Linked DNA regions of Sus scrofa. The protein of the gene in region 5 purifies or fractionates together with the protein of the main gene of each other region. This does not show direct contact. Links are inferred from orthologs where the notes say so. Each region holds a gene or a part of one and is shown on either strand. Other genes may lie near its edges. The genes, in order: DUSP16, OBSL1, DUSP9, CCDC8, MAPK14 and IQGAP1.

What was found.
Region 1: the proteins of MAPK14 (region 5) and DUSP16 purify together in Homo sapiens (affinity purification with mass spectrometry; 7 studies listed by BioGRID and IntAct, counting the BioPlex papers as one, with this or other methods). This does not show direct contact. The link is inferred for Sus scrofa from reciprocal best matches to the Homo sapiens genes MAPK14 and DUSP16.
Region 2: the proteins of MAPK14 (region 5) and OBSL1 purify together in Homo sapiens (affinity purification with mass spectrometry; 6 studies listed by BioGRID and IntAct, counting the BioPlex papers as one, with this or other methods). This does not show direct contact. The link is inferred for Sus scrofa from reciprocal best matches to the Homo sapiens genes MAPK14 and OBSL1.
Region 3: the proteins of MAPK14 (region 5) and DUSP9 purify together in Homo sapiens (affinity purification with mass spectrometry; 8 studies listed by BioGRID and IntAct, counting the BioPlex papers as one, with this or other methods). This does not show direct contact. The link is inferred for Sus scrofa from reciprocal best matches to the Homo sapiens genes MAPK14 and DUSP9.
Region 4: the proteins of MAPK14 (region 5) and CCDC8 purify together in Homo sapiens (affinity purification with mass spectrometry; 3 studies listed by BioGRID and IntAct, counting the BioPlex papers as one, with this or other methods). This does not show direct contact. The link is inferred for Sus scrofa from reciprocal best matches to the Homo sapiens genes MAPK14 and CCDC8.
Region 6: the proteins of MAPK14 (region 5) and IQGAP1 purify together in Homo sapiens (affinity purification with mass spectrometry; 3 studies listed by BioGRID and IntAct, counting the BioPlex papers as one, with this or other methods). This does not show direct contact. The link is inferred for Sus scrofa from reciprocal best matches to the Homo sapiens genes MAPK14 and IQGAP1.

Annotation. Positions count from the first base shown.
Region 1 is NC_010447.5:59,868,440-59,872,701, forward strand, and holds the start of DUSP16 (dual specificity protein phosphatase 16), read left to right. Parts: upstream 1-1,462; 5' UTR 1,463-2,128; intron 2,129-2,610; exon of another isoform or gene 2,611-3,209; intron 3,210-4,262. UniProt on the Homo sapiens protein: Dual specificity protein phosphatase involved in the inactivation of MAP kinases. Dephosphorylates MAPK10 bound to ARRB2.
Region 2 is NC_010457.5:121,567,815-121,571,314, forward strand, and holds part of OBSL1 (obscurin-like protein 1), read right to left. Parts: exon of another isoform or gene 3,352-3,500; intron 1,072-3,351; coding exon 799-1,071; intron 1-798. UniProt on the Homo sapiens protein: Core component of the 3M complex, a complex required to regulate microtubule dynamics and genome integrity. It is unclear how the 3M complex regulates microtubules, it could act by controlling the level of a microtubule stabilizer.
Region 3 is NC_010461.5:124,408,279-124,412,340, reverse strand, and holds the start of DUSP9 (dual specificity protein phosphatase 9), read right to left. Parts: upstream 2,801-4,062; 5' UTR 2,582-2,800; coding exon 2,449-2,581; intron 2,268-2,448; coding exon 1,860-2,267; intron 52-1,859; coding exon 1-51. UniProt on the Homo sapiens protein: Inactivates MAP kinases. Has a specificity for the ERK family.
Region 4 is NC_010448.4:52,473,334-52,477,307, forward strand, and holds the start of CCDC8 (coiled-coil domain-containing protein 8), read left to right. Parts: upstream 1-1,174; 5' UTR 1,175-2,783; coding exon 2,784-3,974. UniProt on the Homo sapiens protein: Core component of the 3M complex, a complex required to regulate microtubule dynamics and genome integrity. It is unclear how the 3M complex regulates microtubules, it could act by controlling the level of a microtubule stabilizer.
Region 5 is NC_010449.5:31,790,299-31,794,397, forward strand, and holds the start of MAPK14 (mitogen-activated protein kinase 14), read left to right. Parts: upstream 1-1,305; 5' UTR 1,306-1,747; coding exon 1,748-1,863; intron 1,864-4,099. Other genes in the region: SLC26A8 (testis anion transporter 1), read right to left, coding at 883-1,305. UniProt on the Homo sapiens protein: Serine/threonine kinase which acts as an essential component of the MAP kinase signal transduction pathway.
Region 6 is NC_010449.5:53,100,479-53,103,978, reverse strand, and holds part of IQGAP1 (ras GTPase-activating-like protein IQGAP1), read right to left. Parts: coding exon 3,421-3,500; intron 3,324-3,420; coding exon 3,252-3,323; intron 3,156-3,251; coding exon 3,086-3,155; intron 2,717-3,085; coding exon 2,508-2,716; intron 1,539-2,507; coding exon 1,383-1,538; intron 1,149-1,382; coding exon 985-1,148; intron 1-984. UniProt on the Homo sapiens protein: Plays a crucial role in regulating the dynamics and assembly of the actin cytoskeleton.

The DNA.
Region 1 (4,262 bases), on a different chromosome or scaffold from region 5:
CCCTTTAGAATCTGTTCTAAACAGCAGGACTGTGGTCAGTCGATTATCAGAGCTTTCCTGGAAGAGCACAAGCAGTAACAGCCCGTGGCCACCAGAGGACAGGGCGCAGGGAGCGATTGCTTCCCCTCCATAGAAGTCTTAAAAGAGGTCAAATCTATGGCCTTCAGGCTTCAGTGACTGCCTGATGTGCTCAGCGCATTCCCATCTCCAGGTGGACTCCTTTTTCTCCTCTAAAACATGGGCTGGAAGCTCCTAGAGGCTTACCCTAATACTAACCTGAAATGATTATAATAGCAAATGCACTTTAGCTGCACGATTTAAAGGCAGAAAGGGAGTATGGAGATGTTTCAGCTTTCTCACTCCAAACCTGCTTTTCAGTTCTTTTGCCAATTAAACAAGCAAACAAAAAGCCCCTGGAAGTGTCCAAACAGACATTTCCGAACAAAGATGACTTTCGGGACCAAGGTCCCAAATTGAGTACATTGCAAATGGAACACTTGAGGAGATACACTATTCCTGCCTACAAATTCTGGCTCCTGGAGCAGTTCACTCGCAGTGTGCTTTTCCGTCATTAATCACATCTTTGTTATGTGATATCCACGTGAGTACTTCTCAGTTGAAGCAGCTTCATGCTCAAATGCTCAAAGAACACTAGAATAAAGATCTGATTGTCCTAGTCAGTGATTCCAAGTCCTGGATTGTCACCACCTCAGGTCTCTAGTTTCCCCAAGTGTGTAATGTAGTTTCAAAACAAAGCTATTTTAATTAGTCCAAATTTAAAAATGCACGAAGTGTGTGAAGTTAAATCAATGGGGTCTTGCACCTCTCAAGAGGCAGTGAACCTCTGTTTTGATTTCAAGATGATTCTGTGCTGCCCGATATAGAACATACCTCTAAAGAGCATTTTAGGCTGCTCATTCCCATTACATTTGTAAATAGGAAATGTTGAGTAAATTTAATCAAAGTAAAATAATGAATATTAGGAGCATTCAGGTGGGGGCTTTCAATGACAGACACAGAGAGGCAGCTGAGTGCCTGACCACCTGAATGTGATTTTTCTTAAAGTACCTGTTACTTCTCTTTCCTAAGAGACGGCGGTGCCCTGCATTTTGGGTTTTTAAAGAGCGATTGTAATTCTCTCAAATCATTGTTTGCGTTTCTTCACGCTGGGGAGGCAGCTGGAAACAGCCCAACCAGGAGGAAAAGGTTCTGCTCCTCGCTGGCGTGGGGGTGGGGGATGCGACCCTGAAATACCTGTTGGGGCGCGGCGCTAAGGCGCGCGGCCGAGACCAGGCAGGGAGGTCGGGGTTCGGGGCCCCCGGGGGCGGCGGGCACGCGGGCGCGGAAGGAGGAGGCCGCGGGTCCGCCTCCCCCAGCCGCCCGGCTCCTCCCAGCGGCGCCCGCGGAACCTGCCCCGGAGCCGCCGGGCCCCGGAACGGAACGTGACCCGTCCCCTCCCCGAGCGGCCGCGACCAGGCGCCGAGCCCCGCTCCGGACTTGGGCGGGCGGCGCGCGGCCCCGCCCGGCGCCCACCGCCCTGCCCTCGCCTGTCTCCTCCTTTCCCCGGGGCTCCGCTGAGTTCATTCACTGGGATTGGTTTCAAGTGACGCCATCTCTTTATTTTTAAACCAATGACCTCATCCGCGCTTGAAGTTTCCTGACCAGCGACTCTTTCTCTTTTCCCCCACCCCCACCCCACCCCCCCCGCCTTTCCCCCTCTTTCTGGGTGTCCCTGTTTGGGGGGCTCTGATCAGTTTTCAAACGACTATCATCACCTCTCCCTGCCCCCGCCGCCCCCCCACCTCCCCAGGTTCCTCACCCCTTTCAGCAGTGTTTTTTCAAGGCTGATCGGGGGTGGGGGGGAGAGAAAGAGTGAAGAAAAGTTGCAAACTTCTCCTCGCTTCCTAAGCCTCCCGCCCCCACCCGCCCCTCCGAGCAGGAGAAGATAATATAGTGAAAAGAAGAGGAGGAGGAGAGCGCGACGGGACGGACGCGAGCAGGAGCGCAGCCGCCCTCCCGGCTCCGCCGCGGCGCCTCGCAGGTCCGGGAGGCGAGGGGGCCCCGCGGGGAGACGCCGTGACAACTTTCATTTCCCCCCGAGAGAGCCGGGAGGTCGGTAGCTCCCCAAGTAAGTGGCCGCGCGGACGGCGGGGTGGGAGGGCGCGGGGCCGGGCGCCCGCCGCGCCGGCAGCATGGACGCTCCTTCGCGCGCCCCGGCTGCTCTGCCCTCCCGGCGGCCGGGCCCGGGTCGGCGGGCGGGCGGGCGGGGTGGGGGCGACCGCGGCCCGGAGCGGCGCGCGCGTGGGAAGCTGGGGGGGGGGACGAGGGGGGCCGCGCGGGGAGGGGGCGGGGGACGGCGCGGGGACTGGGGCCGAGCGGCCGGGTCCCGCCGCCAGGAGCCGCCGGCGGTCGCGGTCCCTTCGCGGGCGAAGCCGCTCGCTTCCAGGCGCGACTGTTACACAACACGCCTGCCAAGTGGGGCCCCGGCCTGACGGTTCCCATTATCCCCAACTCGCCCTGGGTGTAAGCAGCGGGGCCACCTGGGTGGTGACGGGGCCGCTTTCTTCCACCAACTCGCTTTTCATGCGCTGCCCCCGCCCTCCTACACAGGCAGGGTGTTGGGGGCTCGGTGTGCCAGTGACTTCTTTATTTACACTAACCCTAAAACGTGAGAAAGGAAAAAGCCCGGGGAGACAACCGAGGGTCTGTGTATCGAGTGTACTTTTCATGTAATGAAACACCGGGGAGGAAAATATTTGTGCAAGACTGAAGATTTCAGGTGCTGCCGGGCTTATTTCCTTTAAAACTTCAACAATAACAACCTGGGAATTAACTTGAGAAAATATAAGGAGATCTTAAAATGAATGGATATGGCAAAATCCTGAAGAAGTTTCTCAACCGTCCGCTGCAAAGATCCTAAATAAAATCCCCAGTGCCTCGAATCGTTTGGAGAAAGCACACCTCCATCCAGCCTGTGATGAATAAAGTGGAGAGGAAAAACCTGTTACATAATCTCATTTGCCCGGGGGTTTGCAGTGCCGTCCCCTTGCATCAAGGGGAAGTGAGTTAAGATGCAGGGTGTTTTAAACTCTCTGAAGTTTTTATTTACCCAGTGTTCTGGCTGCCACTTCTGCTTTAAAAGATTATAAGTAAATACTCTGCTCTTACAAGGGAACCAAACCTATCAAACCTGTTTAGAAAATGACCAGGTATGTTTCTTTGCTTTCTTTCCGGGCTGTTTGTGTGTGTGAAATTTACCATCCATGAGAGACCTTATGACTAGTATTTGGGGAACTTAGACTGTCAGATCTTTAAGCCACTCATCTTTAAGTGCACGTTAAGTGACAACTGCTTCCTCAGAGGATTTATGCTATTCCGAACCACATCAAGAGCAAAGATTTTTGAAGTTAAGGTAAATTTTTAAAAGGAGCGAATTCTTACCAATGGAATCAGTCACTTGTGAATTATTTACTTTTCCTTGAGAATCCTGTATTTTGGTGGACAGACAGCTTGGGAGGCTGTAGTTAATTGAGACTTGTGGAATTCTGGTTTTGGTGAAGGTAGCAACCTGGAAAAGGTAAATTGAAAAACTAAGAGCTTGGGAGTTAGGTATTTTAGTCAAAACGTGACTAGGCACTGTGAAAGTTTTTTTTGTTTTTGTTTTTGTTTTTTTTGTATAAGTAAAGTTCTGGAATTTAAGTGAGTTTGATAACTGTGTGAAATCTTGTTGTTAAAAAAACATTGGGGGCAGTTAACATGTTCATGTAAAAAAATCAGCCCCAAAGTTGGTTTTAGGTAAAATGTACTTATCAAAGTTCTATATGGGGGAAAAAGGTAAAAATGAGTTTATTCTGAATTCTGCTGGTATGGTGAATAACATGAAAAAAAAAAAAAGTAGATTGAAGCACTGTAAACCTGCATTCAGATGTAAAAATAATTGAATACCTGTAAACTAGTCATGTAAAATTGAGGATTTGGGATCTCTTTGGCCAAAAGCTTAATGGGAGTAACTGAAAAGGGGGCAAAAGAGAAGATCCTGTTAACCCAGTTCTTTTCCTTTTTCTTAAACATTAGAAACTCTTTTGTGGAAGTGAGGCTGAGATCAAGTCTGAGATGAGTGCAGAGTTTAGGCTGGGGTCATTGGAAGGGCCAGGGTTGGTGTTTTGATGTTCTTTTCTATAAATGCCTGTATTGGGAATTTAAATTCCATAGATTTTCTGGCCTATGGGATTACATGTTGAGGAAGCTCACTTACATAGCTG
Region 2 (3,500 bases), on a different chromosome or scaffold from region 5:
AGGGGGTGAATCAGATCTACACCACAGCCACAGCAACGCCAGATCCAAGCTGCGCCTGTGACCTACACCACGGCTCACAGCAAGGCCAGATCCTTAACCCACTGAGTGAGGCCAGGGATCGAACCCGCATCCTCATGGATGCTAGTCAGATTCGATAACTGCTAGGTCACAAGGGGAACACCACTAGTTGGGTTCTTAACCCACTGAGCTGCAATCGGAATTCCCGGCTTCTCTTTATATGCGAGGAACTGAGGCATCTTTATAGGGAACTGACTTGCCCAAGTTCACATGGACAGAAAGAGGCAGACCCACACTCACAGCCAGATCTGACCCCAGTGCACAGCCCTCCCTACCCGGCCCCCACTTCCTACCCCCTTTCCCTGCTTTGCCTCCAATGCACTGATCACTACCTGAAAAACCATCTATTTTACTTATTTGCTATCTGCAAGCTCCATGAACACGGGTTTCTCTTCTTGGTTCGCTGCTATATCTCTTAGCATCCAGAACAGTGCAGAGCACAAAGTATTTGTTGAATAAATGAATGGACGAATGATCCTGATTGCTGAGCTCTCCACCAGGCCTCTGTCACTGTTCCCCCCTGCTCTGGGCAAGCCAGGGCTCTCTGATGGCTGAGAAGGAGGGCCTGGGGGAGGAGGGAAGACTGGACAAAGGAAGGCTGTGCGCACCAGCTTGGGGGCCTGGTGGGGAGAAGGTGCAGGAAGTGGGAGGGTTGGGTATCTGTTCCTCAGCCTCCTGCTTCTCTACCTCCCTAGGGTGTCTGTCCCAGAGATTGCCCACCTGTGACGGTGACAGTGAAGAAGGCTGAGTCATCTCCGGCGTCACACACGAACTCGCCCCCGTCCTCCGGCTGGGCAGCGGGCAGCACCAGGCGGCGGCGGGGCCCGTCACTCTCCAGCACCAGGGCCTCGCTCTCCTCTACCTCCAGCCCATCCTTGTACCAGCGCACGGGGGCGTCCTCCCGAGACAGCTCACACATCAGCACCACACACTCCAGGCTCACGGCGACCAAGGTCACCTCGTCCCGGGGGTATATGATGCGGACTGGGGGTTCTGCAGAATGGGGGCAACCACAGGCTGTCACAAACTCACTGTCAGCCTCCCTGGAGCCGTCCAGTAGCAGGGAGTCCCTGTCACCCACAACCACAAGAGTAATAAGGATAATAATAACAAGGAACAATAGTCCACAATCTGAAGTCCCTGTTACAGAATCCAGAATGCTCCCGGTTCCAGAAACGGTGCATTTATCATATATCGCTTCCCTCAGCCCCCACGGCGACACCCCCCCCATAATCAATTACACTAACACTTCTGCAGTGTAACATACAGACATATCCGCCCTAAGCAGGATAATCGAAAATTGGCAATAGTTTCAGAGAATTAAGCTCAGGTTTTCCTGAAGTGGCTTTTGATACCAAATTTACAGAAAGCCTTTTGATTGCGAGGCTTTTTTTTTTTTTTCTTTTAATTTCAGAATTGTGGCTAAGGGAAGGCCACAGCCACACACATGCCAGTCCACACTTGGCCTCCGCACAAAACACGCTTGCAGGTGGCATGGTGACTTTCCCCAAGGCCCTCCTTGACCTCCTGCTCTGTCCTCTTGAGTCCTCAGCCCTTACGTACTACTTCCTAAAGTTCCAGGAACAGTTGTAAGTAGCACCTTACATCCTCATAGCAATCCTAGGACGTAGGTATAATTTTTTGTGGGTTTTTTGCAGGGGGCGGGTGGGGGGCTCATGGCATGCATAAGTTCCTGGGGCAGGGATTGAACCCGAGCCACACCAGCGACAATACTGAATCCTTAATCACTAGGGCATCAGCAAACGCCAACATAGTCTTATTCCCATTTCCCGGATGAGGAACCTGAGCCACAGAGCGGCTAAGTAAATTCCTCAAGGTCGCAGCTAGCTATACCTACTCAAGGGCAGGAGGGAGAACTACTGTCTGGTAAAAGAGGCTCACACTCTATAAGCAGTGGTAGGGATTCCAAGCTAAGGCATGCAGGAAACTCAGTAATGAGCATAGGAGTTGCCAACATCTGTCTAAGAGTTCCCCGAGGGATGTTAACCGCTGATTCTAGGAGTTCATCTCCAACTCCCCTGAACTGGCCAGTCTTCCACAGAAATGAGCCGTGTCAATGTTGGAGGTGATCCTGGAGCTGAGCCCAGGGCATGCCCACGCTTCCACACCTCAGAGGTCTTCCAGAATCAAGTCTCCAGGACACTTTAGGGCTCCTTTAACATTTCGCCCCCTTGTGGCTGGGCTGTGGAACTGCTAGCTTCCCCATCTAGGTTGTTAACAGAGGCACGTGTCCACAGCCTTGCCTCTGCCTCCCTAAATGGGCTTGTTCTGAGAGTCTAGAGGATGCAAGCTGGTTCTCTGGGGCCCGGTAGGGGCAGTAGATTGCAGGATGAGGCTTCCTGAGAGGTGGGGTAGATGATGGAGGCAGTGGCGTGAGGACAGGGTGCAGTGATGGGGCTGGGGTACCTGCATGGCCGTGGGGTCTCAGCTTGGCATCCAACTTGATTCTCCTGGTCCACAGCCAAGGTGGTGTGTTGTGTGAGCTTCCCCGTGAAGAATCTGGTGTTTTGTGCGGAGGCCAAGTGTGGACTGGCATGTGTGTGGCTGTGGCCATTATGTCTGGCCAGGGCTTAGGGTGGGAGATGCTGAAGGGACTCACTACAGGGAAGAATGTGTGTGGAAAGGTGTCTCTGATGTCGTAGCTTGTGCGCATCAGGCTGCACTATCTGGGGTGCAGGGAGTCGGGGGCCCTGAGGAGCCCAGCTAGGCAGGGGAGAGGGCCACCACATGCTGACGGTGCTAGCAGCAAGAGGTCACTCCAGTGCAGCCAGTGGGATTCTCCTGTGCCACCCAGACCTGCCTAGGCACACACTCCCCACCCCGTCACATACACACTGGGACTGGCGCTTTGGGCTGCAGCCCCCAGTTTCCGGCACTGAACCAGTTCTGCCGCAGTCATCCTGGGCTCTCCCCACTTTGGACATTCTCTCCCCACCTTTTCAGCCCAAACCCTGACCGCCACTCAGCTAACTCAGCCCCTACTCCAAATATCTGAAGACACCGCCGGTCCACTAAACACTTAGCAGCCCCCAGCCTTGGGCTCCCACTGCACCCTATGGGGACACTCAGCAATCCCCACTCTAAGACCCTCTATCGTGCCTGGCTTTTCTGCCAGAGGTGTGCGTGTGTGTCTGTGAGCCAGGGCTGACGCCTGCAGGTGGCATGGTGACTTTCCCCAAGGCCCTCCTTGACTTCCTGCTCTGTCCTCTTGAGTCCTCAGCCCTCACAGCACTTTGTCACGAGGTGTCGCTGTACATTTATTTGCGTGTTTATTGGTTAAACGCAGGGGTCGCAAACTCAAATGCCCACAGCGGCCAGGTAGGTAGGTTAGGTCAGTGGCTGAAGCGATCTGGGGGGAGGCAAAAAAGGAACGGCGGGGAGGATGGGACCGAGGAATGTGG
Region 3 (4,062 bases), on a different chromosome or scaffold from region 5:
GGCTGGTCTCACACAGGTGAGGGCATTCGGCCTGGAATCTGCTGAAGCCACCTAGGAGGGGACAAGGGGAGGGTCCTATGGACCTGGCCTCCTGGGCAGCCAAGTGTTCTGGCTGAGGAGAGGAAAGCGAGCCCGGACCATCTCAGTGCCCCAAGGGGCTCGCAGCCGTCTCCAAAGAGAACCTGCAGGCCAGCGGCCTGACCTACCCTGCTGTCCCGGGTGGTGCGCTAGGGACAGCCCAGCCATGCTGGCTCAGGACCAGCGCCCACCGCCGCTGCAAGATGCCAGGCCCAGGCAGGGCACCCCAAGAGGCTATAACAACCCCGGGGGCCGAGCCAAGGCAGGCAGGAAGGCTCCATGGAGTTTAGATGTCCTGAGAGCCTTGGGGAGGACAGCAGCCATCAGTTAAAGAAGAGGAAACGGTCGGATGTGAGTTCTCTGCCTGGGTGTCTCCCGATCCAGCCTGACCAGGGAGCACTCGAGGGCAGAGACCAGGTGACAGCCATGTCTGTGCTGCCTCCAGGGATGAAGCTGGGGCCCCAAGAGGCAGAAGGCCTGGGAGAGTGTAGCACTCCGCCTGCATGGCCCCAAAGTCCCAAGAGGCGCACACCTCCACCTGCAAATAACTACGATTTCCTCGGGTGCGGGGGGGGGGGGGGCTGGAAACGCAGTGTTTTCTGTATTTCTATATCCTGGTGCACTCAGAATGGAGCAAGTGACGACGGTTCAACGAACCTCCTTGGGGCGGGGCGGGGCGGGGGGGCAGCTGGCTCTGCAGGTTCATGGGCATCCTGTTGCTACCCTGGATCTCTGGGGGTGTTTGGCTTGGCAAGGAGCCAGTGTGCCTGCATCAGCCCACCTCCCCTCCACCCCCAAGCCCTGCCAAGACTATAGGGGGGCCAGGTCTCTGCCTCTTCTTGCCTTCACTGCCTCTCTCCCTCTCTCCCCGCCTCTGCCCTCTCCAGACCCTTTGCAGAGTGGGATTTGTCCCAGCGCCTGCCTCCCTTGCCCATGGCTGAGCAGCTGGGGGAGGTGGGGATAGGGCTCGGAGCCCACACTGGGTCCTCTATTCCTTTTTTTTGGGGGGGGGTCTTTTTAGGGCCGCACCTGCAGCAAGTGGAGATTCCCAGGCCAGGGGTCCAATCGGAGCTGTAGCTGCCGGTCTACACCACAGCCCCAGCAACGCGGGATCCGTGTCGTGTGTGTGGCCTGCACCCCAGCTCACGGCAATGCCGGATCCTTAACCCACTGAGCGAGGCCAGGGATCGAACCCGCGTCCTCACGGATACTAGTTGGGTTTGTTACCGCTGAGCCACAACGGGAACTCCCTTTTATTTTCCTTTTTTTAAACCCACTGAGTGAGGCCAGGGGTTGAGCCCGCACCCTCATGGATATTATTCAGATTCTTAACCAGCTGAGCCACAAGGGGAACTCCTTTTTTTTTTTTTTTTCTTTTTTTCAGCTGCACCCGAGGCATATGGAATCCCGGGGCCAGGGAATCTGAGCAACAGCTGCAGCAATACCATATCCTTAGCCACTGTGACGGCTGGGGATGGATCCAGTGCCTCCACAGAGACAAGCCAGATTGTGAACCCACTGTGCCGCAGCGGGACCTCCGTGGATCCTCTATTCTGGAGGCCGGCCCGATTCGCCCCATCTTCCAGGCTCAGAAACGGGGGCTCCCAAGAGTGAAGGACTTCCCCAAGGTTACGGTCAGGGTCCCACCTCCACTTTAGACAAAATGAGGCCAGACTCGCCCAAGGTCAAAGGAATTATGACTGCCCTCAGAAGGCATAATGCTTCCCCTGGGCCAGGGTCCTCCCCAGGCTGGTGCCCGCCGGGCCACCACCCGCACCTACCCTGCAGGTAGTACGCCAGGTAGCCTTCCTCTCGCAGCTTCTGGAGCAGGGTCCCCAGCACTGACTCGGCCTCCCATTCCTCGGCTTCGGCCTCTGCCTCCCCGCGCCTGTGCCGGCCCCCGCCCTGGTCGTACAGGAGCACTGGGGCGGGCGGGGGCGGCTGCAGCGGGGGCCCGGGCAGCAGCGAGCGAACCGACAGGCTCCCCCGCCGCAGGCGGCGCAGGAGCAGCGCGGGCAAGGCCACGCTCAGCGCCCCGCCGATGCGCGCCGACTCGTACAGCTCCCGGCTGCGGCAGTCCAGGAGCAGCAGCCGCGGCCGCGGGGGCGACAGCTCCCGGCGCAGCCACAGGCAGGAGCGGCCCAGACCCTCCATGGGCTCCCGGCTCCCGGCAGATCGGGTCTCAGGAGCTGCAGAGAGAGGGAAGGAGCTCGACGTGAGCCCGTGTCCTTCGCGCCCGGCCGCGAAGGGCCGCGGGCCCAGGGGCCAAGACGTGAAGCCAACCCCGTGTCCCCAAAACGGGAGGCTGGGGTCCCCCGGGGACACCCTTCTACCGCCCAATCCTCCTCTGGCACGCCCCTAGACAAATACCCGCGCTGCTCCTCGGTCCCGCAGAAGAGGGCAGCTGGGCGTCCAACGGCCCCTTCCAGAGCCAGAGCCAAGCGCCGTGTCCCGTCCTGGCTCCTCCTGGGGGGCCCAAGGCCACAGCCACCTTCCCCCACATCCCCTTTCCGCATCTCTCACTCCGCCTGCCCGCCGCGCCCGCACGCACTCTCTCCACTTTCTGGCTTCCAACTTTGGGGGCGGGTGTGAGCGCACGCTCGCCTGAGGGGGGCGAGGCCGAGAGCCCCCCGTGGCCAGGCAGCCTGGGGAACAGAGGTGGTGCCGAGGGGGGGGCTGGACCTCGGCTGGACCTCTCGGAGCTGCCTCCCCCAACCCGCAGGAAACAAAAGGAGAGAGACCTGGAGCGTGATCCGGCGGCGAGCGGCCGTGCATGGACGTCCCAGCCACGGCCACCGCAGGATGTGGGGCACTGGCCCCGGGCAGGGTGTCCTCGGGCCCGGCCACTGGGAAGAGGGCGGGCCGGCGGAGCAGGCGCGCACGTGGAGGCCGAGTCCACCACCGCCGGCACACTGGCCGCTTCCTGGCAGCAGGACCCAGCTTCCACCTTGGAAGCCGCTGCCTTTGGACGTGGAGTTGCCGTTTAGAGGGGCGGGGCGGCGGGGGCGGGCTCAGGGGGCCAGCGAGCCAACGAGTGCCAGTGAAAGCAGTTGAGTGGGCCCTGCAAGTGGCGCGCTGAGCCGGGGCTTCCACCGAAGCGGGACAGGGCCAGGGCAGAGGCCAAGGGCAGGTCAGGGGCCCAGCAGGGGACCAGCTGCAGCTCCCCCGGCCGGCGCCAGTCAGGCCCCTGGAGGAAGGGGGAGGGGTAAGGACAAGGGCCCAGCGCCCCTGCCCCAGAGGCTGCCTCCAGCTCTACTCATCTGGGGGGACCCGGGACTATCCTGAGCCCTGACTGGCCTTGAGTGGCCCTGTCTACATAACAGGCTCATCAGAGCCACCACCTTGGGCTACCAGGGGAGGCCCCTGAAATCACGGAGGGGAGGAGGAAGCAGCACCCAAAACCCCTGCTGCTCAGGCCCACAGCTCTGCTCTTCCCGCGCTATGGATCCTGGCAGCCGCCCCAGCTTCTGGCTTTGCCTCCTTTCTCGGCAAGAGCCGCGTACTTTCGACTTCAATGTCTCCCGCCCCTGTGCTGTCCCCTCTCCCCCCTGCCCTGGCACAGGGCATCCTCACAGCTTCCAAGGCCCTTGCCCTACCTCCCGGCTGCCTCGCACCTCCTCGGCACCGTCCCGCGCAGCTTATCCACTCAGCGAAGGCCGGGGGGCCTCCAAGCCTTCCATGGACACAGGAGGATCAACAGACGGGACACACTGGCCCCTGCTCGCCCGGCACGCCCCGGCTAGCGGCTAGCGGGACAGGCCGGCAATAAACGGGGAGACCGAACAAGATAATACGGGGCATGATAAGGGCTGAGACAATGAAATAAGGTGGGGGAGCTTTCTGAAAAGTCTGGCTCTGTGTCCCTTCTCTGCTTAAAACCCATCTAAAGCAAATAGCAGGGCCGAAGGAAAATGTGCAGCAGATAAGATAAAGCTCATACAAGTTAATCAAAAGGTTAAGGCTCCAATAGATAAATGGCCAAGG
Region 4 (3,974 bases), on a different chromosome or scaffold from region 5:
GCTTAAGGATCCAGTATTGTCACTGCTGTGGCATGGGCTAGATCCCTAGCCTGAGACCTTCTGCACGGCCAACAACAAAAAAAGATGACATTTGAGCAGAGGGAGATTGCCAAGAGAAGGTAGGGGCAGAACTTTCTGGGTGTTGGGACCAGTGATGCAAAGGACCTGAAGGTGGAGGTAAGCCCGATTTATTGGATGACCAATGAGGAGGCAGGTGTGGCTGGAGTGGAGTGAGGAAGAGAGAAAGAGAGCGGGAAGTGGGACTTTGTGGGTGATGGCGAGGACTTTAAAATTAGAGGAGAGGAGTTCCCGTCGTGGCGCAGTGGTTAACGAATCCGGCTAGGAACCATGAGGTTGCGGGTTCGATCCCTGCCCTTGCTCAGTGGGTCGGGGTTCCGGCGTTGCCGTGAGCTGTGGTGTAGGTTGCAGACGCGGCTCGGATCCCGAGTTGCTGTGGCTCTGGCGTAGGCTGGCAGCTACAGCTCCGATTCGACCCCTAGCCGGGGAACTTCCATATGCCGCAGGAGCGGCACAAGAAATAGCAAAAAGACAAAAAAAAAAAAAAAAAAAAAAAAAAAATTAGAGGAGAGACAGATCTGGCTTAAGTTGCTAGGTTGGGGGTGGATTGATTATAGGCAGTGAGAAGGAAGCAGGGAGCCCCACGAGGAGGGATTTGTATGGATCCAGGCAAGCATTGAGGGCAGCTGGACATGCGATGGCTTTTAAGGGGTCAAACAGCCTAGCACTCTCAGGAGGACGCAGATCAGCTGTATCTTCAGAGCCTGGAGTTAGTTCTAACGTCTGGGATCTGGTTCAAATATCTGGCTCTCCACTTCGAACTGTGCAATCGGGGACCAGCCTCAGTGTCCCCAGCTGTAAGGAGATGATAGTGAAGGCATTCACCTTTCGGTGTAGCTCTGCAGATTCATAACAGGCCCACTCAGGATGCCTGGTTTCAAAGAAAGCATCCATGCAGGTTAACCGTTATTATTACTAAGGCAGTTGTTGCTGTGCATGTGGTTGCCTCACAGTTACCCAAGAAGCTTTGCGAATCCTGACCCTTTAATTTAACTTATTTCAATTAACATTTTTGAGGTATCTGAGGTCCTTCAATTTAATTTAACTTATTTCAGTTAACATTTTTGATTGTTAAAAATTGAAGCACTCCAAAATGATAGAGTGAAAAGTCATGTGAAAAGTGAAAAGCCACCTCCGGGGTCCCCAGATATAGCCACTGTTGGCAGTGCTTCTACACATGACAAATGTATGTATACACCTAGGCCCTTTGGTCTACACACACATTAGACTGTTTCAGAATCAAATCCAGGTTCAGTCTTCTTCCTGGCCATGTGACCTTGAGCAAGAGATTGATTTTATTTCCTCAGCTGTACAATGGGAATGAGCATCGTATTATCTGTATCCTGATGTTTTTGTGTGAATTTTATGAGTTAATTTATAAAAAGCACTTAGCATGGTCCTTCGTACGTAGGAAGTGCTCCCTAAAATGTGTTTATTCTCAGTCACTTCTCTTTTTCATAACGGCCTAGTATTTCACCGTTAGTCCCTACCGGTGAACAATTAGGTGCATTCATTCACTCAAAAATATTTCTTGAGCACCTACTCTGTGCCAAGCCCCATGATGAGCTGCAATAAGACCTTGATACCAGGTTCTTCACCCACATGTCTGGGTATATGGCTAGGAACTGCCGGTACCCAAAGTCACTTAATTTTAAGATGGTACTATACTGTCAGTGGCTTTCCAAGGGATTGCCCGATGATGAGCGCGCCCACCTTCAGGGCTGGGCTGGAACCCGCACTTTTGGGACGGTAGTTTCGGGAACTGCTGCCTTTCTCAGAGAAAGCTGCTGACGTGGGCGTCGGCACCGCAGGCCTTTGGCTTGGAAGCCGGGGCCCCTGAGAGGCCCGGGGCGCAGCCACACCCCTGGGGGGGAGGGCGGCGAGGGCGCCCCAAGGGGAGTGGACAGCCCCCCTGTCAGTCTTCCCCGAGTCCGGGAGTGTAAGCCGAGCAGGGAGAAGGTGGGCCTCATCCAGGGGGAAGGCGAGGAGGAACTTCCTGCCCGCGCGCGCACTCGCCGGCCCTGGGCGCGCAGGCTGGGGGCGGAGGCGCGTCAAGGTCAGCCTGGACCGAGGTGGCAGCCTGCCTAGGGGCGGGAGACCCTCCTGGGGAGCTGGCTGCGGCCTCCAAGAGCCTCGGCCATATTGAACAGCCACAGCTGAGCCGTCTTTGTCTGCAAAGTCCTTTCCCAAGTTCCAGGGACGTCCCCTGTGCCTGGCACAGGAAGAGCCACCAGCAGTCCTTACACTGAGTTGGAGCCGGGACACCCATTTACAGCTTGCGGCGGGCTTGGAACCTTGAGACTCCGACTCACGTAAGCACCCTGAATCGATTCCCACCAGTCCTTGAGGGGAGCGAACTGGATCACGACCCGACTTGTTGCGGGCAGAGAAACTGGGAGGTGAGATTCCCGGCCGCGCTCTTGGGACCGCATCCCCACCCCAAGACTCGGCGCTGCGAGTAGTTTGGGCTCCTTGCCCGCACTTTAGATTTCACCCTGGAGATCTTAAAGACCCTCGAGAAAAGCCACGTGGGGGGCTGGTTCCCCTGGGGCTTCCTCCCTTCCCCTGATTGCCTGATCCTCTGGAGCGTCCCCGACATCTGCAAAGATGTGGATTTGGACGTCCTCGTGGAAGCCTTGAAGCCGGTGGGGACATTCAAGAAGATCGGCAAGGTGTTCCGCCGCGAGGAGGACTCCACGGTGGGGATGCTGCAGATCGGCGAGGACGTAGACTATTTGCTCATCCCCCGCGAGGTCAGGCTGGCGGGAGGCGTCTGGAGGGTTATCTCCAAGCCCGCCACCAAGGAGGCGGAATTTCGGGAGCGGCTGATCCAGTTTCTGGAGGAAGAAGGCCGCACCCTGGAGGATGTGGCCCGCATCATCGAGAAGAGCACCCCCCACCCGCCCCAGCCCCCTAAAAAGCCCAAGGAGCCCGGATCGAGGAGGAGAGTCCCGCAGATGGTGACGCCACCTCCTCGGCTGGTCGTGGGTACTTATGACAGCAGCAATGCCAGTGACAGCGAGTTCAGCGACTTTGAAACCTCCAGAGACAAGGATGACAAGGACCACAAAGGCACGGGGCGTGGAAGGAGGCTGCGCAAAATGCCTGTCAGTTACCTGGGCAGCAAATTCCTTGGGAGCGACCTGGAGAGCGAGGATGACGAGGAACTGGTTGAGGCCTTCCTGCGGCGAGGAGAGAAGAAGCCCAGTGCCCCGCCGGCCCGCCGCCGTGTGACCCTGCCAGTGCCCATGTTTGAGGACAATCCGGGACCCCAGCTGTCCAAGGCTGATAGATGGCGGGAATATGTCAGCCAGGTGTCCTGGGGGAAGCTGAAGCGGAGGGTGAAGGGCTGGGCACCGAGGTCCAGCCCAGGGGTGGGTGAGGCCCGGCAGGCCTCTACCAGGGTGGAGAGGGATGGCGCATCGGTGCCAGGCAGCTCAAGCCTCGGGGAGGACAGGGGAAATGCAGGAGATGGGCGGGTGCCTGAGAATCCCCCAAGTCGGTGGAGACCCAAAATCAATTGGGCCTCCTTCCGTCGTCGCAGGAGGGAGGAAGCCCCAACTAGAGCTCAGAGAACAGAGGCTGCAGATGATCAGAGGGCAGAGGTAGTAGTGGTCCCGGGGGCAGAGGCCATAGCTCTCCAGGGGGCAGAAGCTGTGGATAATCAGAGGGCTGAGGCCCCTGCTGCTCAGGGGGCAGAGGACCCAACTGTCCAGAGAGTAGAGGCTGCAGATAATCAGAGGGCAGAGGCCCTAGCTGTCCAGGGGGCAGAGGCGCCAGCTGTCCAGAGGGCAGAGGCCATTCCTGACCAGAGGGCAGAAGCTGCATGTAGTCAGAGGGCAGAGGCCCTGGCTGTCCAGGAAGCTGAATCCTCAGCTGCTTGGAGAGCCACAGGG
Region 5 (4,099 bases):
GCAAGAGAACCTGAGCCAAACCATGTTGAATCCAAAGAAAGCTTTCTACAAATCACTCATGACCCTGGTTTTGGGCTTAGTTTTATTTTTCCTTGAGGAGAACTGAGGATCCTGCTCTGCTTCTTAAATTGAGACCATGTCATTATTCATAATTTATTCAACAAATATTTATGGGGGAACTTTTACGTTCTAGGCACTGTGCTAAATGTTGGGGCAAGACAGACAAAGTCTGAGCACTCCAAGGATGCATATAACACAAAAGAGAATAATCATGGTTAGTGGCTTGAACCCAGTTATTTCTAAAAAGAAATGACTAAGAATAGATAGGGTCCAATTCTCCTGCTTATTGTAACAAGGTTTAGCATAGGAATAGGCCAACAGTAGGGGAAGTTATGGGATTATAATCCTCTGCCCATTCACATTTATTATTGTGTTTAGCTTTAAGTAGGGAATGTAGGGCAGGAATTCTCTTTTGCATAAACTGGAACCAAAGTCTAGGAAAGGTCAATTGACTTGCCTAACCGGACACTGCCAGAAGACCACTCTGCACTGTTCTTACTCTGAGAGGCACGATTTAAATGTTTACAATCCTCTTCCCTGGAAAACTCTTCAAGGTAAGAGTCAGTTTCAAACCTTCAGAGTAATGGTGTTAAAAATTCTTTTCAAACGGAGATACCAGGGACTTATCTGAATTACTTGGGGCATATTGTAAAAAGGCACATTCCTGGTGCCCATCGCGGACCTATCCAATTAAACTCGTTGTGGATCCATAGACTCTTCATTTTTAAACTCCCAAGGTGATTCCTCCGCACATAGAAAGTTGAGAACTACTAGTAGAGTTTGGGTGGAAAACCTCAAACTTAATGCAGGGCTAATATTTACCTTTGGGGCAGATTTCGTCAGAATTCCGAAGAGTAAGCCATATGTCCTTGAGCAGATGAGACTGCAACGGCTTTCTGGCCAGAACCTCTTTTTTATGCAATATTTCTTGGAAATTGGAGGTTCCGCTAAGCGGGTGCTCGGCTGCTGTGGTAGTTCAAAGATCCTTTGGCTCTTTCCCGACACCCTATTAGTCACTGTCGCTTTCCACCGGGGAACTAGGCATTTGCCCCGCCGACCACGGTGGGGCGCACGCGGCAAATGTTCGCCGCTTGACCACCTCTTGCCTGGGTCCGCCTTCGCGCCCTCAAGAAGAGCAGTTCCCGGGAGTTCCTGCCTCTGGTGACCAGCTGTTGCTCTCTTCTCGCGAGAATTGCTCCTCCCGTCCTCTCCCCTCAGCAACCCCCGCCCACAGGCAGGTTCCATATTGGGTAAAATCTCGGCTCGCGGAGAGTCCCGGGAGCTGTTCTCGCGAGAGTAAGGCAGGAGGCTTCTGTTCGCTGGCTCTGGAACGGCGACCACTGGAACCTCTGCGGGCGCTGCAGCTGGAGCGGTAGTCCCGCGGCGCAAACCGGAGTCGGCCTGGACTGAAGCGGGTGCAGGGAGAGTGTGGTGGGCGCAGCTTTGAGCCCTGGAGCGCGCCCCTGCCCATAGCAGGGCTCGCCCCAGTCGCCGAGGCGCGTCCAGCTGCTGCGGCTGACAGGGGCCGCGCGCGCGGGAGTTGTCAGGGTCGCGGCAGCCGCACCTGCGCGGGTGGCCAGCTCTAGGTCCCCGCAGGGTCCGGCGGACGCCGAGGTCCGAGGAGCGGGTGCGGGCGCAGGCGGGGCCCCGCAGGGCCACCTCCTCGCCCCGCGGCCGCCGCTGGAAGATGTCTCAGGAGAGGCCCACGTTCTACCGGCAGGAGCTGAACAAGACAATCTGGGAGGTACCCGAGCGTTACCAGAACCTGTCCCCGGTGGGCTCCGGCGCCTATGGCTCCGTGTGGTAAGTGTCACTGGGCCTGGGGCCTTGGTGGGCTGGGTAGCCCTTCATGCCCCAGAGCCAGGCCTGCCCCCACGGCTCAGCAATGCACCAAGCGGCAGGAATTTTCCCTGGGGGGAAGCCATCCCTGCCCCTTTGATCCCTGTCCTGGACTCCCTGTACCCTTGGGACCCCTCACTCAGCACACCCGCGTAGGTAGTCAGCTGTGTGTAGGACGAGGTCCGCAGTGAGTACCCGGTGGTGTTGGGAGCCCGGCGCTGGCTCGCACCCTGCGCGTTCCCTTGTCGGGGGTGGGGTGGGGTGGTTGCTGCTCTGGGGGCAGGAACAGGGGGGCCCTCTTTGGCGGTCTCCCTGCTGTCATCGAACAGAGGGGCTCTCCCGAGGGGCGCCCACTGTGGGCGCCGTAGCTTGCCCTTGGATCAGACAAGCCCGGGAGCTGCCGGGAGGAACAGAAGGGCAAAGCTCGCCAGGGAGACTGCGGTCATCTGAACAAAACTGAGGACGAAGGACGTACCGTCCCGGCTTTTTTTGCAAACCTTTGTCGAAATCCCATTTGGAGAAGCGTTCTTTTTGAATTCGCACTTGAATTAGCAGCTATCCACAGAGCTTAAAATACCGACTTTATCGCGGTGAGCACGGTGCCAACTTGAGTGGTGTGTTTCCGATTCAGTTGAAAGCGTATTTCCTTTTCGCAGAGTTGGGGGTGGGTGGTAGTGCCTGCAAACACCCTGCAGCTTGAGAAGCTGGCGGCTTCACTGATTAGTCACATACCACTGCTCATTTAAGTATTGTTGGACAAAACAATTTTCGCCTTTGGAGCAAGTGAGATTCAGATCCGTTGGACGCCCTTAAGATCAAAAAGTTACTAACAATATTGGGAGGTATTTTAAATATTTTTAAATTGTGATAATTCTTGTGAAATACTGGGCTTTTTAAGTCCCTTAGAGAGTTTGCAGGGAACTTATCTACACTTACAGCCTGAGGTACACCACGGTTTTCATAAGGATATGGAATGTATCGCAAAAGAAGGAAGAGACACTTTTCAGCCTTAATTCATGCTGTGAATGTGTTTTAAACTAAATGGTACCATAACATTTCCGGACCTGAACTATTTCGCTAACTTTTCTAACTTCCCAGGTCTTATACACTATATTTTAGATTTACTGCAATGTAAGAACTCCTGACCATAAGCTAATTCATGTGATTCCTGTGCATGTATCATTTGAAAAGAGGTCTACAAGATTATTTTTATTATTTTTTGTTTTGGCACAAATTCCAGGCTTTTAGACTCGTTAATCTTTAAATATAATTCCTGTGTTTCTTAAAGTCCCAGCATGAATTTCCTGTTTGGTAGAATCTTCTGGGTAATTGAGATTGTGCAATTGTGTCCAGCAACAGATCATATTGCGTTTTCTAGTTCAGGCTGCTTGAGTTATGTTGCTGATGGCACTATGCCTGACATCTTTTTTCCATTTTTATAGTAGGGCAGTTTATATTTTAAGGGAATTTGCAGCATTTAACCATATGCATATATGTGTGCTGTTTATTTGCTAATTTTCGAAGACGATTTTGGATCGTTGCTCCTTTAGTAGCTCATTAGTTTACCTCCATTTTTCATTCTTGACTTGGCACATTAATTTTTGTAGTACTGTGTTTTTCTGTCAAATAATGTTTAAACTTTAATGATGTGATACAGCAGAATAGCTCAGTTATGAAGAGTTTAAGAACTGCTTGCAAGGTTTCTCTGCCTTTGGTGTGACTAGCTATGTCTTGACACTGGAGATTCAGATTTACAGCAAAGTGCCGTTAAAATGAAGTTCACATTTTTTCAGTGCTATACTTTTCTGGTTTATAGAAGCCATCAATAAGTAAGTGACACTTGGAAGTAATTTTGTTAAACAGGTTTTTTGTTTGTTTGTTTGTTTTTGCTTTTTAGGGCCCCACCCACGGCATATGGAAGTTCCCAGGCTAACAGGTTAGGGGTCGAATCTGAGATACAGCTGCAGGCCTATACCACAGCTATGGCAACATGGGATCCAAGCTGAGTCTGCCACCTACACCGCAGCTCACGGCAATGCCAGATCCTTAACCCACTGAGCAAGGCCAGGGATCCAACTTGCATCCTCATGGCTCCTAGTCAGGGTTTTAACTCCTGAGCCATGAAGGGAACTCCCAGTTTTTTAGAAGTAGGTGATACATTCACATAGTATAAAATTCAAAAGTTATAAAAGGATAGTGG
Region 6 (3,500 bases), about 21 Mb from region 5:
ACACTTTATATTAGTGTTTATACTAGTTCTTTTTTTTTTTTTAAAGGAAAGACTGTATTGGAATTGTTTATTCCTTTATCCCTGAGCACAATAGCCAATACAGAGCAAACATTTAGATAAAATTTAATTAGCATTAGACAAGTTTTTTTTGTCTGCACCCACGGCATGAAAAAGTTCCCACACCAGGGACAGAACCCATGTCACAGCAGCAGTGACGCTGGATTCTTAAACCACTAGGCCACCAGGGAACTCCTATATTATTTTACACTTAGCATATATTAGTTTCTATTAGTGTATAGTATAATTCATTTGTATTAGTGTACAATATATACTATTACACTTTTATTTTATTTATTTTATGGCCGCATTTGTGGCATATGGAAGTTCCCAGGCCATGGACTGAATCTGAGCTGCAGCCACAACCTATGCCCACAAATGTGGCAACACTGGATCCTTTAACTCACTGCACCAGGGTGGGGGCTGGGGATTGAATAAGCCTCCGCCGTGACCCTAGCCACTTCAGTCAGATTCTTAACCCACTGCACCACAGCAGGAGTTCCTGTTATTACATTTTAAAAGGTAGATGCTTCTTTTATTTATTTATTTATTTTCATCTTTTGTCCTCTTTTTTTTTTTTTTTTTAGGCCCGCACCCATGGCATATAGAGGTTCCCAGGCTAGGGGTCTAATCGGAGCTAACGCTGGATCCAAGCCATGTCTGTGACCTACACCACAGCTCACGGCAACGCCGGATCCTTAACCCACTGAGCAAGGCCAGGGATCAAACTGGCAACCTCATGGTTCCTAGTCAGATTCGTTTCTGCTGTGCCATGACAGAAACTCTGGTAGATGCTTCTTTTGAGTAAGTATTTCACACACTTCATGGTGCTGAGACCACGAAAAGCCACGGGCAGGCCTGACTCTCAGACTCTGAGCGTGTGAGCTAGTGGGAAGGGCCCGATGCTCCGTAGAACTCTGTTCGTACTTGATTTCCTCCTGTAGTGCTGTCTTAAAGAGCCGTAGGAGCAGGTACTCCTCTCGCTGGTTGGATGCATAGTTGTAGAGTGTAAAGATTACAGAGTCCATGAACTTGGTGGACTTGTTCTGGGGCATCTGAAAAATCAGCTTTGCCAGATAGGTGGGGTTGGTCTGAAATAAAACCACGAGATAACTTGTAGATAATACAGAAGATGACACAAACATTCACGAGTTTTCAGCCCAAAAGACTAAATGTACCTGAATAATCAAAAAAAATAAGACATCTCTTTGCTCTCCCCCTTAGCGAAAACCAGTAAGACTTCCATCGAGACCTATGCATAAGGTTTTCTTGTGGAAAAGTAAATTAACTTACATTTTGTAATAATAATTCCAGGAGCCACTCACCTGCAGTAAATAAAACAGGTGTTGATATGCTTCCAATTTCTCTCTCTTCTCTTTGCTCAAAGCCTTGAGACCTCCCTTTTGTTTATTTAGCATCATCATATCAGACAACTGTTCCTTATTTTTTTTGGTAAGTTTTTTACTGTGGGAAACCACATCCTATAAACAAACACATATACATAAATAAAAATAGCTTTTAAAGATGAAACTCCAGTCACTATGGAAATAAGGTCTTTTAGCACCTAAAAACTCTCTTCTGAAGGTCTACTGCACTGACAGATCCACATTAAAAATTCTTTTTCTTTTTTTTTTTTCGTTTTACAGCTGCATGTGTGACATATCGAAGTTCCCAGGTCGAACTGGAGCTGCAGCTGCTGGCCCACACCACAGCCACAGCAACAAGGGATCCCAGCTGCATCTGAGACCTACACCGCAACTTAAAGCAACACCAGATACTTAACCCACTGAGCGAGGCCAGGGATGGAATGTGTGTCCTCATGGATACTATGTTGGGTTCTTAACCTGATGAACCACAATGGGAACTGACCCGTTAAATATTTTATAATCACTACATCATATTCTACTTTCCGTATATCAATCAAATCTATTTCTACTTTCATCTTCCTATAAAGAAACTGTACCATAAAAATGTCCACTGATTCAGGAAACCAACTTCCAGGAATCTATCTTACAAAGTCTTAAATACAATAAAAGTTATGCATGCATTGAAACTTTCACTGCAGTGTTATTTTGTAATAATAAAAATTTGAAAATGTCAAATCATCTAGAAAAAAGAGGTAAAACATAGACTATTTCCTGATGAATTATTATATTGCCATTAAAAACAATATTTATGATGACTTCACATAGAGAAAGTACCTCATCCTCTACATTAAATAAGAATGTAGGATACAAAATGATTATTGGGGTGGTAGAATCACGGGATGATTTTTATCTATTTTTCTCTATTTAAAATTTTGCTATTAAATCATTTCATTTCCTATATAACTTTGAAAAAACCTACGGCATTAGCAGAGAAGAAAGCCAGCCACTCCGGTCATAAAGAGGGAGGTGGGGGTACCAGGTAGGAAAAAATGTCCCAAGGCCCCTGCTGGCACTGGACCATACCTGCAGTGTAATTTTATTTTTCACTAGCAGTCCAATTTTGATATCCATGAGATTGAGGTCATTCTCCAGCTGTTGGTTAGAACGAATGAGGGTAATGACCTCTTCCCGCATCTTCATGAGATCAAGCTCCTCCTGAAAATCCTGGTCACTCTGGTCGAGCAGGTGGACAAATTTTCGGACTACAATCATTGGAGGATCCTCAGCATTGACTGACAGAAAGAAAGCATGTGTCAGATGAAGAATGGAATTGCTAAAAAAAAGTTCCGTGTCTTGGAAAACATCAGCATTGTCTTAAAAAAAAAAAAAAACCTCTATTCACATGTAAGACATCTGTTTATTTTTGAGATGTGCAAAGACAGACACCAAGTGCAGTCTTCCCAGTCATGCTACTGCTAGGTTGTTATGTGGAAGGTGCACATGGCAAGCCACAAGACATCCAGCCACAGGTTAGCAAAGGGGCTTCAGTCACAAGCAGCACCCTACCCCCCAAGCCTTGCCTGCAGGACAAGAAAAGAGATCCGTGGAGAATACACAGAACCTGATGGCCTCAACTCTTCTCTGCCGAGCCAGTTACTCACTGAGAGTCTTGTAGTCATCACGAGCTTTGTTTGCCCGAATGAAAGCCTGGATTTTGATAATGTCATTTATCTAAGGAACAAAACAGAAGAAATTCCTCTGTTCACTTGTTCACCATGAACACAGCAAAACTGATGCTGTTGGTCCTTATTACCCAGGGGTACTCACGTGGTCTCGGAAGTACTGCAGGCGATCTCTATAGCGCTTTCTAGCTTGATGCATCCTTGCCAGGGACTGAATCTATGAAAAAGGAAGAGAGATGCTGGAAATTAGGAAAGCCCCTGCATCTCAACAGGTGTCATACTCACGTCCCGCGTTGAGACATCCTGCCACGTACCTTTATAACTTCATCTTTATGGGAGCGCAGGTAGGCTAAGCGATCTTGGTACGCCTTCTTCTGCTTGTATCCTCTCCACT